3 linked regions of the Macaca mulatta genome follow. The protein of the gene in region 1 interacts with the protein of each later gene in a pairwise test. Links are inferred from orthologs where the notes say so. Each region holds a gene or a part of one and is shown on either strand. Other genes may lie near its edges.

The links.
Region 2: the proteins of TFIP11 (region 1) and GPS2 interact in binary tests that used the Homo sapiens proteins (3 or more experiments, as listed by UniProt). The two-hybrid records come from large-scale screens. The link is inferred for Macaca mulatta from reciprocal best matches to the Homo sapiens genes TFIP11 and GPS2.
Region 3: the proteins of TFIP11 (region 1) and OIP5 interact in binary tests that used the Homo sapiens proteins (3 or more experiments, as listed by UniProt). The two-hybrid records come from large-scale screens. The link is inferred for Macaca mulatta from reciprocal best matches to the Homo sapiens genes TFIP11 and OIP5.

What each region holds. Positions count from the first base shown.
Region 1 is NC_133415.1:25,050,890-25,057,984, reverse strand, and holds part of TFIP11 (tuftelin-interacting protein 11), read right to left. Parts: intron 6,377-7,095; coding exon 6,223-6,376; intron 5,907-6,222; coding exon 5,750-5,906; intron 3,460-5,749; coding exon 3,332-3,459; intron 2,471-3,331; exon of another isoform or gene 1,721-2,470; coding exon 1,568-1,720; exon of another isoform or gene 1-1,567. UniProt on the Homo sapiens protein: Involved in pre-mRNA splicing, specifically in spliceosome disassembly during late-stage splicing events. Intron turnover seems to proceed through reactions in two lariat-intron associated complexes termed Intron Large (IL) and Intron Small (IS).
Region 2 is NC_133421.1:8,805,169-8,812,725, forward strand, and holds GPS2 (G protein pathway suppressor 2), read right to left. Parts: upstream 3,958-7,557; 5' UTR 3,851-3,957; intron 3,710-3,850; 5' UTR 3,641-3,709; coding exon 3,547-3,640; intron 3,187-3,546; coding exon 3,077-3,186; intron 2,993-3,076; coding exon 2,880-2,992; intron 2,749-2,879; coding exon 2,669-2,748; intron 2,578-2,668; coding exon 2,495-2,577; intron 2,314-2,494; coding exon 2,160-2,313; intron 2,062-2,159; coding exon 1,972-2,061; intron 1,883-1,971; coding exon 1,803-1,882; intron 1,716-1,802; coding exon 1,620-1,715; intron 1,436-1,619; coding exon 1,352-1,435; 3' UTR 1,256-1,351; downstream 1-1,255. Other genes in the region: EIF5A (eukaryotic translation initiation factor 5A-1), read left to right, coding at 158-220; NEURL4 (neuralized-like protein 4), read right to left, coding at 4,716-4,920, 6,492-6,657, 6,748-6,860, 7,039-7,183, 7,320-7,427, 7,524-7,557. UniProt on the Homo sapiens protein: Key regulator of inflammation, lipid metabolism and mitochondrion homeostasis that acts by inhibiting the activity of the ubiquitin-conjugating enzyme UBE2N/Ubc13, thereby inhibiting 'Lys-63'-linked ubiquitination.
Region 3 is NC_133412.1:18,676,244-18,684,115, forward strand, and holds the start of OIP5 (protein Mis18-beta), read right to left. Parts: upstream 3,958-7,872; 5' UTR 3,911-3,957; coding exon 3,589-3,910; exon of another isoform or gene 3,505-3,588; intron 3,331-3,504; coding exon 3,264-3,330; intron 1-3,263. Other genes in the region: NUSAP1 (nucleolar and spindle-associated protein 1), read left to right, coding at 4,307-4,399. UniProt on the Homo sapiens protein: Required for recruitment of CENPA to centromeres and normal chromosome segregation during mitosis.

The DNA of each region.
Region 1 (7,095 bases):
AAAATGCACATAAGCATAGAAAAAGATCTAGGATGTATAACAAGATGTTAACATTTGGTAATCTTGGAAGGATGGAAAATATTTCCTATATTTCTCCCTATTTCCTAACTTTCTAAAATGTACTACACACTGCTATTATAATAACAGTTTTTTTTTTAATTTAATTTTTTAAACTTTTTTATTTTTTGAGATGCAGTCTTGCTCTGGTGCCCAGGCTGGAGTACAGTGGCACGATCTCAGCTCACTGCAAGCTCCGCCTCCCGGGTTCATGCCATTCTCCTGCCTCAGCCTCCCGAATAGCTGGGACTACAGGCGCCCGCCACCACGCCCGGCTAATTTTTTGTATTTTTAGTAGAGATGGGGTTTCACCGTGTTAGCCAGGAAGGTCTCGATCTCCTGACCTCCTGATCCATCCGCCTTGGCCTCCCAAAGTGCTGGAATTACAGGGGTGAGCCACCGCGCCCAGGCTTTTAATTTTAAAACAAAATAAAACATACAAAAGGCTAATTGAACAAAGGCAACCTAGGCAATGAGCTAATTCCAATATTTTAGGAAAACAGGAAATGTGAATATGGACTGCACTTCTGAAGCAGAATGATTCATCACCACTTTTTAAGTAAGTGTGTGATCCATGAACCACCAGCATTAGAATCACTGGAGGAGGAAAAAAAAAAAAAGTCTTGAGGTTCAGTTTAGACTCAAAATTCCTGGGAGGCACCTAGACGCCCGTATTTCTTATCAGGTCGTCCAGATAATATAACAGCACACGTTTGAGAACCCCACTAAAGGCTTTGAGGTCTATGACACACTATATATCCTACAGCAAATGACAACAGGCAACTGTCACCATTGTTCTTTGACTACTTGGAAAAGTAATGGAAAACGTAATACACTATATGCACGTAACAGTGAGTGAAAATTGAATGTATCTTAAAAAAAGAAAATACTCAATGCTGACTAAGGAGCCCTGGGAACTCTCTCCTGCCCTCCTGGTCAGACAGAGTTAATACAACCTTCTGAGTATTTGAATGTCTTAAGTACTTTTGTATTTAACATGGTGATTGCACATGTACATCTCTATCCTTAAAAAAATGTCTCAAACAAAGACGAAGTTTTATATACAAACTAACCAGTCAAAAATCCAAACTAAACCAGATAAAAGCTAAATGCCTAACAACGGAGGTAGGATCAAGCAATATAGGACAGCCACCCTCTGGAATTCTACACTCATTATAAATCTTCACAGTGAGTTTTTAATAATAAGAATGTTACTGAATTCACTGATGTAAGCTCCAGAAACACAGGAACATCATTTGGTTTACCAGTGTAGTGCCGTGAAGAGTGCCTGGCAGAGAAGGAACTTGGTAACTATTACTAAATATGGGAGTGTAATGAATAGGAACATGATATTAATAGTATTCATTACACTCCTATAAAATAAGTGAGAAAAGCAAGGTACAAGAAAAAAAAAAAAAGCCTAGCTAGAAGATCCAAAAAACCCTAGAACATGTTCAGTGATTAATTCTGGGGTGTGGCTCCTGTACCAGGTGTCCAAAGGTCCCCATACCTTGACTTGAGAAAGCTCCTTCTGGGGAGCAGTGAGCTTCTTGCTAATCCTGCCCTTGGCCTTCAACTCTTCCACGGTCTTGTAAGAGTATTTGGGCTTCTTCTTGCTTCCACTTGGGTCTTTCCTCCACTGGCTCAGCTCCTTCTGAAACTCCTGAACCAGAAGGATACAGTCAGATGCAGCAAACCACTTTTTACAACAGGTGAGACAGCTAAGACCATTAACAGATGTCACCATTCACTGTCTTAGATTTATTTCCAGGTTCTATATGAAGGAAGGAAAGGATGCACCTGCATGACACCAAAACTATCTAATGATAACTCCTTGACCCCATTTACCCTCTTACAAATAATGAGGTTCAGAAGGCAGGTGCACCAGACGGGAGGGAGAAACAAAAATAAAGGAAACAACATGTATTGAGCATCTACTATGGGCAGGCACTATACTAGTTTAAATGTACCTCATATAAAACTTAGAAATGCAATGTAAACGCTTTTTTAAGTACACAAAATCTTGTTTCTCACTTTAAAATGAAGATAAATAAGCAGGTCCTAACTCTCAAAGCAAAGGTATCTCTTATAATCAGGGTCTGCAAAATGTACCTGCCGTAGCTACAGGAGGAGCTACGGCAAGCTTGTCCAACCCGCAGCCCAGGACGGCTTTGAATGCGGCCCAACGCAAATTTGTAAACTTTCTTAGCGTGATGGTAGTAGAATCCAGCCCACAGAAGTTGGTTTTGGAGTTGTCATTATGTTTTTCTCATACTGGTTAAGACTTGTCATTTTTTTCTCTAAAAGTATCTACACATCTGGCTACTTTGGGAAAATCAGAGGATCAGGCAATACTAAGCCCACATCCTCATAAGCAACAATCACCTAGAGCTGAATAAAGATTTACCTTCTAGACAGGCTAAGGCCTCACCTCTGTGCCACAGTCCCCACCACTCTTTATTGTCTAGCATCTGGCTCATCTTACTTGCTTCTGTGGTGTGCCTGGCACCTGTAGGCTTCTAAGTCTGAGAACCCCTGACTCAGAGTGGTCAATCCCACATTATCAAATGACTGTGTCATCAAAAGGTCAGTGACAAGAAGAGTAACGTGTTTCTTTGCAGCATCCTGCTTTCCCCCATAAATTCAAATGGGAAAAGAGTAATACTTCAATCAACAAAGCTGGCCCCTTCTATCACTGGGGAAAAGGGACACACAGCTGCCAGCAGATGGCTCCCTGCTGCACTTGGGATGAAACCCAAGCACCTAAAAATGGCTGTCAAGGCCCATCTTGTGGCCCGCCCACCCCTCTGAATGCACTTCCTTCCCCTCTGCTTTGTGTACCACCCTCCCACCACAACGGCTTCCTTTATGGTTTCTTAACCGGCAAGCTCAGAGCCTCTCAGTGTCCTCAGGCTTCTCAGCTCACCCTTCTGCCAAGTCTCAACTGAAATGTTTCCTTTCCTCAAAGGTTTCCCTGACCAGCCTATTTATAAAAGTAGGTCAACACCACCTCCCAACCCCCAACCTTATTTTCTGTCTAGGCAGGTCCTAGCACCTTCTGCCATTTCAACTGCCACTTCCACACCATAGCTGCTTGTTTACTCTCTGTCCACCGTGCGCCCTCTCATCATGGTGCACCTAGCCTTCAGCCCAGCACCTGGCATATGGTACGTGTACAATAAACATCTGAGGACTAACAGAATGAAGGGATAAATGAACAGCCATTAGAAATGGACAGGACACCACCCACCCATGTCTCCTGACTTCCAGTTACCTCTTCAGCTTCTTCCTCTGAGTCAACCACAGGGAAGTCTTGCATTGACTGCGTGGTGCGCTCGGATCCATAAGCCCCCACAGCACCTTTTCCCTTTCTCTGCTTGGCTTCGATTGGGTTAATGATACCTGAGGAATTTCAGCAAAAGATAAAAAAAAGACAGTCTTATGATCACAGCAATTCATGTATGTGAATCAGCCACTCAGTGAAATGACAGTTTCTTGCTCCTTCCACAAAATAACACGCTACTCAAGGAGAGCTATTCTCTGCCCTCAGAACACTACTCTTGTCCCTTGTGATTTGAAACTTATGAGCATTTATGCTACCACAGAACAGTCTGCTGACTGGTTTATTTATATCCCAAATAGATTTCCATTTCTACTTGGATTGTTTCAGTGGACAAGAAAACAGAACACTACATTTATAACCGAGAACTCCAGCATACTAAATTCTACACTTCACTTCTTTGGAAGCCTCTATTAGGGAAAATGCAATAATTCAGATACTATATTGACTCTGACTGAAGTGAAGCTGTAATTTAATATAAGACTCATGTATTTTACTTAGGAGTTCCTATCTCCTATGTTTAACTTTTTTATAACAAGTTTAAGCCCTAGAAATAAATGTTGCTTTTCTCATAAAAGAGTTTACGAATAGGACCACAACATTTCAATGAAGATGTTGCCCCCCCTCCAAATTTTCCATCCCTGCCTCCCTTCCATTTAGTACAGCTGAAGTCTCAAATAAGAGCTATCCCTGGGCCAGGCATGGTGGCTCATGCTTGTAATCCTAGCACTTTGGGAGGCCAAGGTCTTGAACCAGCCTGGGCAACATAGTAAGACCCCATCTACAAAAAAAGAAAAAATTAGCCAGGCATAGCAGAGTGTGCCTGTCGTCCCAGCTACTCGGCAGGCTTGAGCCCAGGAGGTTGAGACGGCAGTAGGCTATGATCATGCCATGCCACTGCACTCCACCCTAGGTAACAGAGTGAGACCTTGTATCAAAAAAAGGAAAAAAGCTGTCCCCTCATTCTCATTCAGCGTATCCTTGCTTAAGTTCATGTATTTTTCATGTACCTAATGTTTTCAACACATAACCTGGATTTCACTTTAATAATTATTTAGAGGCCGGGCGCAGTGGCTCACACCTATAATCCCAGCACTTTGGGAGGCCAAGGAGGGTGGATCACTTGAGGTCAGGAGTTCGAGACCAGCCTGGCCAACATGGTAAAACCCCGTCTCTACCAAAAATACAAAAATTAGCTGGGTGTGGTGGCAGCTGCCTGTAATCCCTGCTACTCGGGAGGCTGAGGCAGGAAAATCGCTTGAACCAGGAGGCGGCGGTTGCAGGTGAGTCAAGATCGTGCCATAGAACTCCAGTCTGAGCGACAAGAGTGAAACTGTGTCTCAAAAAGTAATATTATTATTTAGAGACTCAAATTTGAATATGGAGGACACATTTGATTATATCTACTTGGCAATCATGCATAGGATATAGCTCAAGAAGAAGGGGAAATGTTCTTGTAGGAAGAATCCAAGTGTTTGGTTTGAGAGGCTTTGGTCTCAAGAAGATAAGAGTGTGACAGGGGCTGTGTCTCAGTGAGGCTGGCCATGAGAAGACAGGAGGAGACTGGGCTACTAGACGAAGATGGAAGTAACCAATGAAGGATTTGCTCAGCCAATTTTACAGCCATATGGCTCTAATTATTAAAAAAGCTAAACACAATGTTTTACTGATATTCCTGAAGGACAAATAACCGTTTCTGCAAAACTAAAACCCTTGTGAGTAGGGATGGCAAACTCAAATGACTTCGGGACCAAGAAAAGTTCCTGTGGGTTGGGGTGGAAGACAACAGGGGGCCGTGGAGACTGCCTCCAAGAGAAGACCATGTCCATTGTCCCAGGAGCAGCTCTCACTTGCCTCAACTAACTACTGCCAGGCAAAATCTAGAATTTTAGGTGAAATTGTCTGTTTTTTAAATATTAGCAACTAATTCATTTTTGTCTTTATTTATTCTATTTATTTATTTATTTATTTAGAGACTGAGTCTCACTCTATTGCCCAGGCTGGAGTGCAGTGGTGTGATCTCGGCTCACCGCAACCCCCACCTCCTGGGTTCAAGCGATTCCCCTGCCTCAGCCTCCTGAGTAGCTGGTCAGGACCAGAAAAAAAGCCTGTCTCCAACCTGTTTGCAGCCTATTTTACACCCTAACCCTTTTCTTCTTGTTGAAACAATTACTTATTTAACTTGAGCTTTGATAAAGCAAGGTAGCTTAGGAGTGCAAATGTCTTGTGCTGGCAAACCAGGCTAGAGAGAGTGAAAGTGCTTTTAAAAGGGAAAAGCAAACCTCCTCTCCCAATGCCCCTCTCCTTTCCTCTGCCTGCCCTCCATCACACAAGACGACCAAAGTGCAATACCTTGTGCATTCTTCCCGAGGCCCCGTCCAGGGACGTAGCCCATCTTCTGAAGAAGCTTCTGTCCAATTCCTTTTGTGTGTCTTTCCCAGCTGCCGAAGTCCATGAAAGATTTGGTTCCTCCTGCAAAACCTTTCTGGCTGGGCTTAAAATTGCCACCCTGCAAAGAAGAAAAATCAAAGCTTAGTTAATGGAAAAACAAAAAGAAGAAAAATCTAAGAAAGCTTGGCCAACAGGAAAATGGTCTAAGTTACACAGCACTATGAAAAGGGTCACAAGAACCAAAAATGTGTGTGATACGTGTCAGGAAGGAAGAGACTACACTACGCACTTCACAACTCACAGAAGCCTGCCACCAAAAGGAGATACTCACAAAATGCATTCCAGATAAGTTTCTCCCTGGCTAGAAAATGCTTGGGCCACAATGACATTTGAAGGATATTACTGGAGTCACAATCCTGCAATAAAGACTCTACCGTTTTTAACTTCCTTGGTCCAAAATCCTTAGGAAAGTCGTCCTGCTTAACAGGTCTCTCTTCATCATCAGAATCTTCCAACTCTGCCTCCTCCGCTGCCCCTTTCTTGAGTCCTGCACTGATGAAGTTGACCGGCGCAGAGTAGTCACGGGCCCTGCAGGCACAGAAACAAAGCCCCACGGGGTTGGTAAATAACTCTTCTCTCTGCAGCAATCCCTTTGCAGAAACTACGTGCTTGAAAACTCCTTAGAATGAACTTCATGGAAGGTTTTTTAAAAAAGTAACACATTTTTTAATGTGTCAAAATATCTAAAGGACCCCAGATTTGGCTTCCTGTAGTCACATTTAACATTTTATCTGACATATTCCTCTACAGCTGAAGAGTTATCACATCAATGTAGGGTTGATTATAAATCCAAAATATGATGTGATAATACAGTTTTCCTACATTTTAAAAAATTAATTTATCATAAAAAGCATTTGTTTTGAAAACTATTGCAAGTACAAAAATCCAACAGGAGCAGAGAGAAATTTTGATGGATAATCATAAATAAATAAAACCCACTGAAAGATTATACGAACGTAAAGCATATAACAATTATATTAATCAAACTCAGAAAAAGCTCCTATCCATTAAATTTATTGAATGTGAAAATTTCCAGCCAGGGCAACATACTAAGGCTTTGTCTCTATAAAAAAATAAATAAAAATTAGCCAGGCATGGTTGTGCAAGCCTTTGGTCCCAACTACACGGGAAGCTGAGATGGGAGGATTGCTTGAGCCCAGGAAGTTGAAGCTGCAGTGAGCTATAATCATGTCACTGTGCCCCAGCCTGGGCAAAAGAGTAAGACCATGTCTCAAAAGAAAAGAAAA
Region 2 (7,557 bases), on another chromosome or scaffold:
CTGACCTCGTGATCTGTCCACCTTGGCCTCCCAAAGTGCTGGGATTACAGGCGTGAGCCACCACGCCCGGCCCCCTCCCTGCTTTTGTGCTCAGCTTTGTTCTGTACGTTTCTTCCTGAGCTCAGACATCTCCTGGCTCTCTCTCTTGCTCCTCCAGATCACGGTGCTGTCTGCCATGACAGAGGAGGCAGCTGTTGCAATCAAGGCCATGGCAAAATAACTGGCTCCCAGGTGAGTGTGACAAATCCCTCACTGTCCCCTTCACATTTTGTTGTCCTCAGCAGATCTGCTCTAGTCTTAATTGTTCCAGGCTTACTTTGTGCCCCTAGCCTGGCCTTGTCCTCCCTATCCTTCCCGTTGAAGGTATTATCCTATCTTACTAATTTCTCTCTCCTACCTAGGGTGGCGATGGTGGCAGCAGTGATCCTCTGAACCTGCAGAGGCCCCCTCCCCCAGCCTGGCCCGGCTCTGGCCTGGTTGTAGGCTGGACTCCTCCTACACAAATTTATTTGACGTTTTATTTTGGTTTTCCCCACCCCTTCAATCTGTCGGGGAGCCCCTCCCCTTCACCTAGCTCCCTTGGCCAGGAGCAAGCGAAGCCGTGGCCTTGGTGAAGCTGCCCTCCTCTTCTCCCCTCACACTACAGCCCTGGTGGGGGAGAAGGGGGTGGGTGCTGCTTGTGGTTTAGTCTTTTTTTTTTTTTTTTTTTTTTTTTTTTTTTTTTTTTTTAAATTCAATCTGGAATCAAAGTGGTGGATTCTGGCAAATGGTCCTTGTGCCCTCCCCACTCAGCCCTGGTCTGGTCCCCTGTTGCCCATAGCCCTTTACCCTGAGCACCACCCCAACAGACTGGGGACCAGCCCCCTCCCCTGCCTGTGTCTCTCCCCAAACCCCTTTAGATGGGGAGGGAAGAGGAGGAGAGGGGAGGGGACCTGCCCCCTCCTCAGGCATCTGGGAGGGCCCTGCCCCCGTGGGCTTTACCCTTCCCTGCGGGCTCTCTCCCCGACACATTTGTTAAAATCAAACCTGAATAAAACTACAAGTTTAATATGAAGCCCCCAACTCAGCTGCTTATTTGAATTAAATGGGTATATTTGGAAGCTACAAAAAGACTGAACTCTGCCACTGAGTTCATGGAACCCGCTGTCTATCACTGACTTGCTGTGGACCTGCCAGTCATCCCCCCACCCCCCAAGCAGCCTTGACCTATTCCAGACAGTTGGGTGGGAGGCAACACAAACAGCAGCAGCCAGGGTCAGTGGCAGGTAGATTTTATTGGCCTGGGACACACGGGGGGTATCCTCACCCACAGTGGGGCAGGGGGCATGATGTTGAAGATATAATCTGATCGTCACTTGTGGTAGAATCGCGGGTTCTGGCTGTGTTGGATGAAGGGGAGCCGAGGGCCAGGTTGGCTGGTAGCTGCAAAGCCCGACTGGCGGTGGTGATGAAAAGAGGGCTTTGTCACTGGGCGTACTCTCCCACTTAATGCCCTACTGGTAACCACCCCCAGAGAGGAAGAAAAACCAGGTGATGTGGGCCACCGGTCCTACCTAATCCTGCTTTTCTGGATCCCTAGTGTAAGGATTCTGACAGGTAAACTTTATTATCATTCTTACCTTTCCTGCTGGTTGCATCTGCACAGGGAGCTGTGGGGAAGCAAGGAGTCCAGGGGCTGGATGCAGAGCCTGGGGGTGCATGGGGCGCAGAGAGGACTGCAGAGAACAGAGTCAGGGCCTGAGGCATACTGAAGCTCCCCTTAACATATCCCTAACCCTGACCTCCCAAGGTGCCATACTCACTGAGTCGGAGAAGCCAGTCTGCTGGTTAGCATGTTCCATCTGCTTTTGCAAGGACAGGGCACCACCAGGCTGGAGGAAACCTACGTGGGGAAGAGGGGCATGTGAGATGAGAATGAAACAGGGAGGGGAGGACCCAGAGAGCTAGAGCTCCTGCATGGGATGTTATCACCTGTCTGAGTGGGCTGAAAGTGGCCGTGCACGGCATAGGGCTGTGGCTGTGGCTGAGATAGGTACTGCACTGTAGGGAATGCTGAAGGAGCTGAGAAAGGAAAAGACAGAGCCATTAAAACCTTTTACTCAATGGCATTCCTCCTTTGACGTTGAGGAAGGCCAAGCCCCATCCCTCCTATTACTCACCTCTGAGCTGCTGACTAGGACTATAAGCTGGCTGTGTGGGCCCATAGTGAGGTGGGGGCTGAGCAGTCCCATAGGCACCACCAGGACTGCCTTGGAATTGTCCATGCTCTGGTGTCCCCGCAAAAGCAGCTGCTGAGCCCACATAGTGCCGGGTCTAAGGAGGGAGAATGAGAATTCGCCTATAAACTTGAAAGCTGAAACCCAGTGACTTGTGTATATCTGTATGCCGCATTTCCCCCTAAACTTAAGTGCTTGATATGTTTGTGACTTGAATACTGGTGGCAAGGATGCATGGATGGAAGCAGTAGGGGCTGGGCATCCAATCCTACTCTCACCGTAAGCACTTGGGGTCCAAACATTTGTTTGGCTCTGTCAGCTGCCATGAGGGTGCCTGGGCGATTGTGTCCTCCAGGGCTCCCTAGAAAGGGAGAAGGGCTTCATGATGCTGAAATGGGAGGCTGCAACCTGTAAGAAGGCCGGTTCCATCAGGTGGTCTCTTTAGTCCTCACCCTGCATGCTGAGGAGATGAGTTCCTGTGTGGACAGTCAGGCTCTGCTGGTATGCAGCTGATGTCAGGGTGGTCAGGTCACTGGAGTGAGAGGAAGGCAGGTCAAAGCTAAGGACAGATGCCTTCTCTTTCGCCATTAAACACTAGTTCTTTTATTACTTGATCCCAGTTCCACTTGGCCCCCATTTCAGTTTTTAGCACTCTGATCCCACCTCTGTTCCTTTCGCCTCCGTTTTTCTTCCTCATGTAAAACTTTCTTGAGCTGCAGGAAAAGCTGATGCTTCTCTTCCTGTAGGGCCAAAAGCTTCTCCTCCAACTTCAGAATCTGGGAGGGAGTGGGAAGAGAAGATGAAGGCAGGGAGAGTCAAGGGAAGAAATCAAAGCTGGGAGAGTTCAAGGGACTGCTTACTTGTTCCTTGGTCTCCTCTAGTGACATTCTCTCTTCCATCTCCTTTTTCTTCCTTCTCTCCTGTTCTTCCTTCATCTTCTGTTCCATCATCTTATCCACCTCTTCTTCCTCTGGAGAATCAGGCAGAATGAAGAAGAGGCAGGGTAGTGAAAACAGTTCCAACGTTAGATTGAAGACCAGCAAAACCCAGTCATCCCAACACGCCTGTGCGCTCTTTGCCTCGAGGGGACAAGCTCCCCCATCGCTGCAATAGGGAACGGAGAGGCTTTATCAGGTGCTCTCCAAGGTCCTTCCCGTCTCAAGGGTTCTGGAGCGTGGACCAGGACGCTTAAATCCCACCACAACGGGGCTATTCCTTCCCTCCTCTGCGCTCGGCAGCGGGCTCACTGGTTGGCCGCTGGGTTGAGGCCAACCCTGAGGTACAGGAGCCATTCTGGGCCGTGTGTCCCCCCGCTATGGCCCCGGCTCACCCTGCCGCTTGCGCTCCCGCTCCATCATAATGTGCCGGTGCAGCGCCCTGGCCATGGCGTTGGAAAGCTTGGGGCGCTCCAGGAGTGCGGGCATGGTGCTGCCGTGGGCGCTCGGGCCGTGGGCGCCCGGCTCTGTCTCTGACTGCCAGACCTCAGACGGCGCCTGCGGGGAGGCGGGCGCTCAGAGGGGACCGCGCCCGGCCCAGGCGGAAGCCCGTCCGCCCGACCCGCTAGCCGCCCCGGTCACGTGTCCCAGGAGCCCGCCACCCGGCCGGGCCCGCAGCCCCCGCTCCACCGCGCGCACGGGCGGCGCCGGGATCCCCGACTCGGTGCTGCCGCTCCCTGCCCAGCCAGCCCGGACGCCAGCCCTCCCTACCCGCCTTCTCTGCGCTTTCTCAGCAGCTCCGGCGCGCCCTGGCCCGTACGTCACATCCGGCGGCCCGGCCAAGTCCTTCCGGAGTCACGGCTGCGGCCGACCTCACGGGTTGGGTGAAAGAAAGCGGAAGCGCGCTGCGACGGGTGCCCGCGGCGTCCAAACCCCGTAGCCGGGAACGCGGGCGACGAGGGCTGTAAACTGGTCTTGGCATCCTCAGCTCTCTTTAATTTCGCGGGCCCACCTGGTGGCACCCCAGGGGACGCGGGCTCCGGGGAGGGGCGCGCGAGAGAGAGGCCGAGGCGGAGGCTCTGAGACGGTGTTTATTGGCTCCTTAGAAATCAGAGTCAGTAACAACTGTACAGAGGCCCCCATCTTCCGTGCGCCCACCCTTCCCCACTCCTGCCCGGTGGCCCCGGAAAAAGCAGCTTCATGTGGGCACAGGGAGAGACTCCTCTGGGATTCACAGTAACCAGAAACAAAAACGGAAATAAATTAAGTGATGTGGGGAAGGGGAGTAAAAGGGAGTCATGTTCCCCAAATCAGTGCATGAAGAGGGGTACCAGGGCCTGGAGCTGGGCTCCCACGGCTCCTCCCATCAGACGGAGTGCTGGGCCTCCAGACATGGAGCTGTGCCACTTGCCACCTACATCTGAGAGCCTGCCTACATGCTCCTGCGCGGCTGCCAAGCTCCAGCACCTGCGCATGCCACGAGTCACGGGAATGAGGTGGAGGCAGTCGCCAGAGTCCATGGGCCCGAGGCCCGACTGTGCTTGTAGTATTTGTGTGTCACCCCTCATTCCACCCGTACCAGCAGGGCATAGAGGAGTGTGGCCCCCTTCTCCTTAGTGACCCACTCAAGTTCGGCTGGACTGAAGTGAGGGTCAGGAGGTTCTCCAAGGGCAGCGGAAGGGGGTCCCGGGGTGTAGGAGCCAGGGCGCACACACACCTGGAACGCCACCTGAGCCTGGTGCGTCCGCTGGGATTTGGGGTCCCGGAATCTGTCAAACAGGAAAAAATAAGGGAGTGAAGCTTCTCTCCCCATCACCTCCCCCTTGCAAAGTCTGTTCCAACCACACAAGCCTTGCTGTACCTAGGAAATACTCCCGCCTTATAGGAGCTTCACTCTAGCTGTTCTTTCTACCTGAAATGTTCTTCCTCCCAAAGCCTGCTCAGCTACACCCTTCACTTCCTTCTTCAAGCCTTTGCTCGAATCTCTCCCACCTTCTTACGATGCCCACACCAGCCACACTGCTGTCTCCTTCGCCCCCCTCTTTCCTACGATGCCCACACCAGCCACACTGCTGTCTCCTTCGCCCCCCTCTTTCCTACGATGCCCACACCAGCCACACTGCTGTCTCCTTCGCCCCACTCTTTCCTACGATGCCCACACCAACCACACTGCTGTCTCCTTCGCCCCACTCTTTCCTACGATGCCCACACCAGCCACACTGCTGTCTCCTTCGCCCCCCTCTTTCCTACGATGCCCACACCAACCACACTGCTGTCTCCTTCGCCCCACTCTTTCCTACGATGCCCACACCAGCCACACTGCTGTCTCCTTCGCCCCACTCTTTCCTACGATGCCCACACCAGCCACACTGCTGTCTCCTTCGCCCCCCTCTTTCCTACGATGCCCACACCAGCCACACTGCTGTCTCCTTCGCCCCCCTCTTTCCTACGATGCCCACACCAACCACACTGCTGTCTCCTTCGCCCCACTCTTTCCTACGATGCCCACACCAGCCACACTGCTGTCTCCTTCGCCCCACTCTTTCCTACGATGCCCACACCAGCCACACTGCTGTCTCCTTCGCCCCACTCTTTCTTATGATGCCCACACCAGCCACACTTCTGTCTCCTTCGCCCCACTCTTTCTTATGATGCCCACACCAGCCACACTGCTGTCTCCTTCGCCCCACTCTTTCTTACGATGCCCACACCAGCCACACTGCTGTCTCCTTCGCCCCACTCTTTGTTTCCATAGTCCTTACTTATTACCTTTAAAAATACTAAATACTGGCCGGGCACGGTGGCTCACGCCTGTAATCCCAGCGCTTTGGGAGGCTGAGGCGGGTGGCTCACGAGGTCAGGAGATCGAGACCAGCCTGGCCAACATGGCAAAACCCTATCTCTACTAGAAAAATTAGCCGGGCTTGGTGGCACACGCCTGTAGTCCCAGCTACTCAGGAGAATGAGGCAGGAGAATCGCTTGAACCCGGGAGGTGGAGGTTGCAATGAGCCGAGATCATGCCACTGCACTCCAGCCTGGATGACAGAGCAGGACTCCGTCTCAAAAATAAATAAATAAATAATAAATACTTATTATGTATGAACATTATAGAGAGAAAAGGCAGAGGTTCCACAAGAGCAAGGTTCCTTTTCTTGCCCACTAGAAGAGTATATAAGTGGTATTTGTTCAATGAATGAAAAAAGGGCTGAGTTGGAGACTGGCAGCTAGCAAGAGGAGGTGAGAAAAGGGGAGGGCAAATCATGAAGACCCCAGTGGCTGCGCTCAGGCCCTCTTCATCCGAGCCCCTGGAGATCTCTCCCCACCCCTCCCAGTACTCACTGCACTTTGGAGGCCAGGGTCTCGGCCCCAGCATATTGAAGGGAGGGGGAAAGCAGCACAGGAGGGGGCTGCTCCTCCCGAGGAGGTGCACAGTTCTCGCCAGGCTCCTCGAACCCTACCCCAGGCTCTCCCTTCAAAGGACGGCAGCTCAGGATGGAAGCAGTACCTGGGAGGAGAACTGGGTCAAGATAGCCCTTTTTATTCCTCCACAGCCCCCCAGGCTCAGCCCACCTTGCATGGGCCTGCTCCCCAGTACCTGCTCCCAGCTCCCCTCGGTCCAGCACTCTCCGTACAGCTGCAACATTGCTCCCATGATAGGCCATGTGCCACTTCTTGGTTAGTGTCCCAGCCTCCAGGCGGGGATTCACTCTACGAGGTGGACAAGCAGGGCAGATAGAACGAAGGACACTGGCTCCCCAGTGGAGGAGCTTCACGAGGCTCTTCCTTAGGCAGGAAGTTCTATCACTTCTTCCATGCACCTTCTTGGGATCTCCATTTCTCCAGGGGGAAAACAGTAGGGGAAAGGCATGACCCTGCCCGTATGTACCTGAGGTTGAACCTGCACCAGCCAAAGGGCAGTGCGTATTCCCGGGGAGGCTCCCCTCTGCGCCTGTGGGCCTCGTCTCCTCGCAGCTTCCGGCAAGACTCACAGTAGCACAGGCTTCGCTTTGGCGGAGGCATGAAATAATCTTCTGCGGGACAGTAAGTAGCAGGCTTGGTGCTGTGGCTCCCACCCTTGATCTCAGCCACACTGGCACCCTTCAGCTGCTCTCCACGGCTCTGGGCCTGGCCCTGGGGATGAAGTCGGTTCTGGGGACCGGGACTCACCAGGAAGCAGCAGGAGTTCTCGGAAGCGAGAGCAAAGGGCATGGTACTCGCAGCTCTTTAGAGGACTAGCGGCGGGTGGTGGGCCCCAGCACACACTCTCTTTGATACCTGAGGGAGCAGAGGGGCACAGGTCACAGGAGTTAGGCTAGAAGGGTAGGGGCAGGGGAGTAGGGGCAGGAGCGGGGTCCCTTTGGGCTGGCACACCGTCCACCATGTCTGCTTTCTCCATGTCCCCTTG
Region 3 (7,872 bases), on another chromosome or scaffold:
AATCCCGTCTCTATTAAAAATATTAAAAAATAGCTAGGTGTGGTGGCGGGCGCCTGTAGTCCCAGCTACTCGGGAGGCTGAGGCAGGAGAATGGTGTGAACCCAAGAGGCGGAGCTTGCAGTGAACCGAGATAGTGCCACTGCACTCCAGCCTGGGCAACAAAGCAACACTCCGTCTCAAAATAAAATTAAAATTTTTTCTTTTTTTTTTTTTTTTTTTGAGACGGAGTCTCGCTCTGTCGCCCAGGCTGGAGTGCAGTGGCGCGATCTCGGCTCACTGCAAGCTCCGCCTCCTGGGTTTACTCCATTCTCCTGCCTCAGCCTCCTGAGTAGCTGGGACTACAGGCGCCCGCCACCGCGCCCGGCTAATTTTTTGTATTTTTAGTAGAGACGGGGTTTCACCGTGGTCTCGATCTCCTGACCTTGTGATCCGCCCGCCTCGGCCTCCCAAAGTGCTGGGATTACAGGCGTGAGCCACCGCGCCCAGCCAAAAAAATTTTCTAAAAGAAAAGCACTTTAAGAAAGTATTTCATCATGCATGTGCTAAAGGCAATTTTAAAGTGCTTTGGTAAAGGAAAAATTAATTATATTAATATAGAGTATGCTATGAAGAATTTTTTTTTTTTTTTTTAAGACAGGTTCTTGTTCTGTTGCCCAGGTCAGAACATAGTGGTACAATCATAGCTCCCTGCAGCCTTGAATTCCTGGGCTCAACTGATCCACCTGCCTCAGCTTCCCAAAGCTGGGATTACAGGTGCATGCTACCATGCCCTACTAATTTTTTTTGGAAGAAATGGGGTCTTACTTCCCAGGCTAGCAGAATTCTATTAACAAAATACAACATAAAAATCACATAGCTAGCCCGGGCATGATGGCTTATGCCTGTAATCCCAGCACTTTGGGAGGCCAAGGCAGGTGGATCACCAGAGGTCAGGAGTTCAAGACCAGCCTGGCCAACATGGTGAAACCCTGTCTCTACTAAAAATACAAAAATTAGCCAGGCATGGTGGTGGGTGCCTGTAATCCCAGCTACTCAGGAGGGTGAGGCAGGAGAATCGCTTGAACCGGGGAGGCGGAGGTTGCAGTGAGCGGAGATTGTGCCATTGCACTCCAGCCTGGGCGACAAGAGCAAAACTCCGTCTTAAAAAAGAAAAAAAAAAAACAAAAAACACATAGCTAAAAAGAAATATTCATGTCAATGGATACTAAAAAAGAACAAATAACAAAATATATTAGGTTTATTGGTAAATGAAGTCCCACACCACACATATAGTAATCTTGTGAATATAGGTAACCAAAAAGCAAACTGTGAAATAAAGTGTCATTAATTTGAAATTCCACGTAGGAATTAATTAGTTCAGACAAAGCACAGTACTTATAAACAAATGTGTCAGTGGAAATTAATTTACTGGGCCGGGCGCAATGGCTCACGCTTATAATCTGAGCATTTTGGGAGGCGAGCAGATCACCTGAGACCAGGAGTTTGAGAACAGCCTGGTCAACATGGTGAAACTCCGTCTCTACTAAAAATACAAAATTTAGCTGGGTTTCCAGAAGGTTTTCAATTTACTTTGCCCATATCCATCAGAGGAATAACTATCTATAGTAGCTATAGATAGTAACAGTAAATGAGCATTGACTTCAACTTAAAGTCATCAGCTGCATTGGCCCCTAACAAGAGAGAAAGCCTGTCCTTTGAAGCTTTTTTTTTTCTTTTTTTTGGATGGAGTACAGTGGTACCATCACAGCTCACTACAGCCTTGACATCCCAGACTCAAGTGATCCTCCCACCTCAGCCTTCCAATTAGCTGGACCACAGGTGCACACTATAATGCCCATCTAATTTTTAAATGTTTTGTAGAGATCGGTTCTTGCTATGTTGCCCAGGCTGGTCTTGAACTCCTATGCTCAAGCAATCCTCCCACCTTGGTCTCCCAAAGTGCTGGGATTACACGTGTGAGTCACTGTGACCAGCTCCTTTCAAGCCAGGTAATACTTGTCCTTTCTACCTATGAAAGTCTGAGATGGCATCTTCTTCCAATAGAAGGCTGTTTCATCTGCACTGAAAATCTGTTGTTTAGTGTACCCACTTTCATTTTCTGCAGCTTCTGCATCAGTACTTGCTGTTTCACTTTGGACTTTTGTTATAGAGAAGGTTTCTTTCCTTAAATCTCAAGAACCAACCTCTGTTTTTTTTTTTAGATAGTCTTGCTCTGTCACCCCGGCTGGAGTGTGGTGGCACAATCACAGCTCCACTGTAGCCTCGACCTCTATGGCTCAAGCCAGCCTTCCTTCTCAGCCTCCCAAGCAGCTGGGACTATAGGTGTGCACCACCACATCCGGCTAAATTGTTTTGTATTTTGTAGAGACAGCATTTCACCATGTTGCCCAGGCTGGTCTCAAACTCCTGGGTTCAAGCAATCCACCCACCTCGGCCTCCCAAAGTGCTGGGGCTACAGGCATGAGCCATTGCACCTAGCCAACATTTGCTACTTTCAAACTTCTGCAGCTTCCTCACCTCTCAGCCTTCACAGAATTGAAGAGAGTTAGGGCCTTGTTCTGGATTAGGCTTTGGTTTAAAGGAATGCTGTGGCTGGTTTGATCTTCTACTCATACCACTCAAACTTCCTCCATATCAGCTTATAACTGGAGTAGCACTTTTAATTTCCATGTATTTGTTTGTTTGATGGAGTTTTGCTCTTGCTGCCCAAGCTGGAGTGCAATGGTGTGTTCTCAGTGCACTGCAACCTCTGCCTCCCGGGTTCAAGTGATTCTCCTGCCTCAGCCTCCCAAAGAGCTGGAATTACAGGTGTGTGCCACCATGCCCGGCTAATTTTGTATTTTTAGTAGAGACGGGGGTTCACCATGTTGGTCAGGTTGGTCTTGAACTCCTGACCTCATGTGATCCACCCACCTCAGCCTCCCAAAGTGCTGGGATTACAAGCGTGAGCCACCGCGCCCGGCCCCATTTTTTTCTTCATATTCACAATTTGGCATGACTTCACATGCCTTCCCAGCTACTCGGGAGGCTGAGGCAGAATGGTGTGAACCTGGGAGGCAGAGCTTGCAGTGAGCCGAGATCGCGCCACCGCACTCCAGCCTGGGCAACAGAGTGAGGCTCCATCTCAAAAAGAAAAAAATCAAACCAACAAAAAAAAAGGAAATGCTGTCAACAGACTTGCTCAACAAGTACATGTCAGTTCCACGCTCCTCAGTCTCATAAAGTCAGGGACTAGAGACCAATCTGTAATTATCAATACGTACCTGCCTTTGAGTGAACCTTCAATGCCAACTAGGAAGGGCGCTTCCAAAACGACGTTATTTGTAACTCCTAGGAACACAAACACGGGTCAGAACTCATACTCTGCGGGCCTTGAAATGGAAAATCTCTCCTCTAGACAGACTCATCCCCGCCATAAATGTCAGGAGACTCCCCAGTTCCCTGCCCCATCCCCAGGCCAAGGAGTTATGTGCTTCCAAATTTTCATTCCGTTTTCTTCCCCAGGTGGTTCTCTGCCACCCGGTGGAGAAGGCGGGAACAACCTCTCGGGCTAGCCTCTGCCTTTCCCGAACGCCTCACTGCACTCACTGGAGAAGACCACGGCCCCAAGGGACCGCGACAGGTCCCAGGCGAGGTGCACCGAGTCGGCGAGCACGGCGTGGCATTGTGCGCACTGGAAAACAGCGCACCTCTCAGGCTGCAGCCAAGACGGCAGCTGCGAGACGGCGGCCGGCTCCTCAGCCCCCAGCCCTGCGGGGCCGAGCGGCGAGGACCCCTTCACCACCTGTGTATCCCACTCCATGGAGGTCGTAAAAGATGCTTCGTCAATCGCCCTCTCAGTGCCATCACAAAAGTCACCCTGGGGCGGCGTTGCACAAGGGGAGCGATGCCGCCGCGGCTGAAACGCCATCTTCTCTCAGCCGGCGCCGTCGTTTCGAATACACGCCAGGCCCCGCCCCAAGCACAGCTCCTGCGTCCTCATTGGACATCGTGGGCAATCCAAGCACTGGAGTCCCAGTCCGCGCACTCGTTACCTGAACCGGCCTTACAGGCCCTTCGGCGCCTGCGTATTCGTGAAGTGTGAGAAAAGCGCGCGACTGTTGGGACGGGAAATCAGCCTTTCTATTGGTCAGGGTTAGAAACCCCGCCTTTGAGGCATTTTCAACCAATGGAAGCGCGGCATTCTTCATTTAAACTGTCTATAAATTTCAGCTTAGTCAAAGTTAAGAGTGGCGCCAGGGATTTGAACCTCGCTTACGAGACTTGGTGATCCATCTTCTGAGTATCACCGGGATTTTGAATCGCGATGATCATCCCCTCCCTAGAGGAGCTGGACTCCCTCAAGTACAGTGACCTGCAGAACTTAGCCAAGAGTCTGGGTCTCCGAGCCAACCTGCGGGTACGACGCTGGCGGGGCAGTTCCCTGGGCGGGCGCGGCGGGAGTAGCGGCCTCAGGGAGATGCGGTGCGAAGGGACCGAGCGGGAAGCCCGGGGACTGAAGCAGCCGTCCCTGCCCCTCGGGCAGTAGATGTGGTTCACGGTGGTCCCAGTTAGAACTCTGATAAACGGAAGAGGAACTGTAGTTTTCACCTCATTTTGAAGCTGGCTTGTCTGGGTGCTCACATGATAAGCCTCTGTTCCGAGGGGTGGTTTGTTGTTTTTCGTTTTTTGTGGTTTTTTTTTTTTTTTTGAAATTACTTTATACCTCTCAGGTCATCGATTACGAAACGCAGGCCCAGAAAGCAGAAGGGGTGTCGTTAATCGTTAGACAATTAAGTAAATAATTGGCTCAGCTTCTAGAAAACCCCACACAGACTTCAGTGATTTGTAATATTGCCGATAATCTCTTGATACTTTATTGATGGACCTGTCAGGGGGAAAGAAAAAATCTACTTTTAGGGGACCACCTCCTTGGGTAAATTTTTATAACTCAGCCCTGATCTAGTATACTCATGTGCTTATTGATGACTGTTGTGGTGATGGTATCTATCAAAACCAGTAAGGTCTTTGACTCCGAGGCTACAAGATGTTAGGGGAATTGGCCGGGCGCGGTGACTCATGCCTGTAATCCCAACACTTTGGGAGGCCAAGGTAGTTGGATCACCTGAGGTCAGGATTTCGAGACCAGCCTGGCCATTAAAAAATTAGCCGGGCGTGGTGGCACACGCCTGTGATCCCAGCTACTCGCCTGTGATCCCAGCTACTCGGGAGGCTGAGGCAGGAGAATCGCCTGAACCTGGGAAGCCAAGGTGGCAGTGAGCCAAGATCGCACCCACTGCACTCCAACCTCGGTGACAGAGCGAGACTCAGTCTCAAACAAAACAAAAACAAACAAACAAAAAACAAGATGTTAGAAGATTTGGGGATTCAATGTAGGATAGCGGTTTTATATATTTTGTTAATAGTTGAGACTTCCCACATAATACTGCTGTATGCTCTCTAGGTTTGTCCTGCAGGCTATGATACTGACACTGAATAAATGCCTAAATCAGTCGTCACAAATGTTTTTCTTTTCTTTTTTTTTTTTTCTTTGAGACAGACTCTTACTCTGTCTCCCGGTCTGGAGTGCAGTGGCGCAATCTCGGCTTACCACAACCTCCACCTCCCGAGTTCAAGCGATTCTCCTGCCTCAGGCTCCTGAGTAGCTGGGATTACAGGCGCGTGTCACCATGCCCGGCTAATTTTTGTATTTTTAGTAGAGACTGGAGTTCACCATGTTGGTCAGGCTGGTCTCGAACTCCTGATCTCATGATACGCCCGCCTCAGCCCCCCAAAGTGCTGGGATTACAGGCGTGAGCCACCACGCCCGGCCTAAATTGTTTAAACAAAATAATCAGGGCCTAAGTGCCTGTTGGGGCTGAATGACCAAAGGGTTTTCCTTGTGGATATTTCTGGGCTATAGTGGTTTGTGGCTCCCCTATACTTTGTAAACAAAGCCTTAATATCTCAGCCTAAATTCCTTAGGCTTTTTTGCTGCCTAGCTAGAATCTTTTATCCACGGCTGCATCCCTGAACACTTGGAACTTTTATCTGTCTTTGTCCCATTGCTCATTTTGACCCTTTGGCCTCAGATCACCTTCTTTCTCCTTTATCTGCCTGACTCTGTGTGTGTGTGTGTATTTTTAGTAGAGATTGGGTTTCACCATCTTGCCCAGGCTGGTCTTGAACTCCTGGGCTCAAGCGATCCTCCGGCCACCACGGCCTCCCAAAGCCCTGGGATTATAGGCGTGACCCACCACGCCTGGCCCATATCAAGTATTTATAGGTGAAATGTTACGATACCTGTAAAATTTGCTGTAGAATACTCAAGGAAAAAGAGGGAAACTAGATGAAGTAAGAACGCAGAATGTTAATAATTACTGAAACTGCTAATAGGTACATGGGGGGATTGCACTATTCTCTCTACTTTTGTAGAAATTTTCCATAATAAGATGTTTTAAATTAAAAACTCTTGGTACAACCCAGGTGCTCATTAAGTCAATTGCCTTTTGAAATTGTAGTACGTAGCAAAAAAATTTATAAATTGCTCTAATTATCAAGATTTGATTAAAATGAAACACTACAATTTAAATAAATTAAATAAATTTTACTAGTATAAATATACTAGTATAATAGTGTAAATACTATTTCAGTTTAATCAAATCTTGATAATTTTACTAGTATGATATTATTAAAAATAAATTTATGGCCGGGCATGGTGGCTTGCGCCTGTAATCCCAGCATTTGGGAGGCCGAGGCAGGTGTATCACCTGAGGTCAGGAGTTTGAGACCAGACTGGCCAACATGGCAAAACCCCATCTCTACTAAAAATACAAAAATTAGCCGGGCGTGGTGACGGGCACCTGTAATCCCAGCTACTAGGGAGGCTGAGGCAGGAGAATTGCTTGAACCCAGGGAGGCAGACGCTGCAGTGAGCCAAGATCATGCCATTGCACTCCAGCCTGGGCAACAAGAGGGAAACTCTGTCTAAAAAATAATAATAATAATAAATAAATTTATAAGAGATAATATTAGCTCTTTTGAGAGACTTCTCTTAATGGTAAAGCAAATTGAAGGAACCAGTTATTATTAGTGTGGCGACTAATTATTAGTATGGCGACTATTATTATTAGTGTGGCGACTGGTCCTTTTGTCACTCATGCCCTCACTTCCTTTCTTACCAGCTTAAATTACAAACTCTGGCACTATTTCCACTTCCTTGCACCTCCCTATACTCACCTGGCAAAACCCAAGCCTGATTAAACCCAACTATGTGCTTAATCTTTGCCTATACCTCTGCAGCTAACTCTAGCTGGAGAAAACACCTAACTTTGTTGAGTGAACTTATTTTACATATGCAACTCTAAACCTTAATGTGGGCATTTGATCTTTCTCCTTTTTTTTTTTTTTTTTTTTTTTTTTTTTTTTTTGAGATAAAGTCTCGCTCTGTTGCCCAGGCTGCAGTGGCACAATCAGGGCTCACTGCAGCCTCAACCTCTCAGGCTCAAGGCATTCTCCCACCTCAGCCTCCCAAGCAACTGGAATTACAGGCACGTGCCACCACACCTGGCCCATTTTCTTCTTAGTCATGAACTTTCCTATTTTTGAAGATAATTACTTTTTATCATCTTGACTCAACTTGGCTCCCTTCCCTCCTTTGATGACTTTACCACATAGGTCATGGGAAAGTAGATGAAATTGATAGAATACTGCCTGATCCTTCAACCACCAAATCCCCTGCTTTTTTCCTTTTCTTTTTTCTTCTTTTTTTTTTTTTTTGAGACAGAGTCTTGCTCCGTCAGCCAGGCTGGAGTTCTCTGAAGTGCAGTGGCATAATCAGGGCTCACTGCAGCCTCAACCTCCCGGGCTCAAGCAATCCTCCCAACTCAGCCC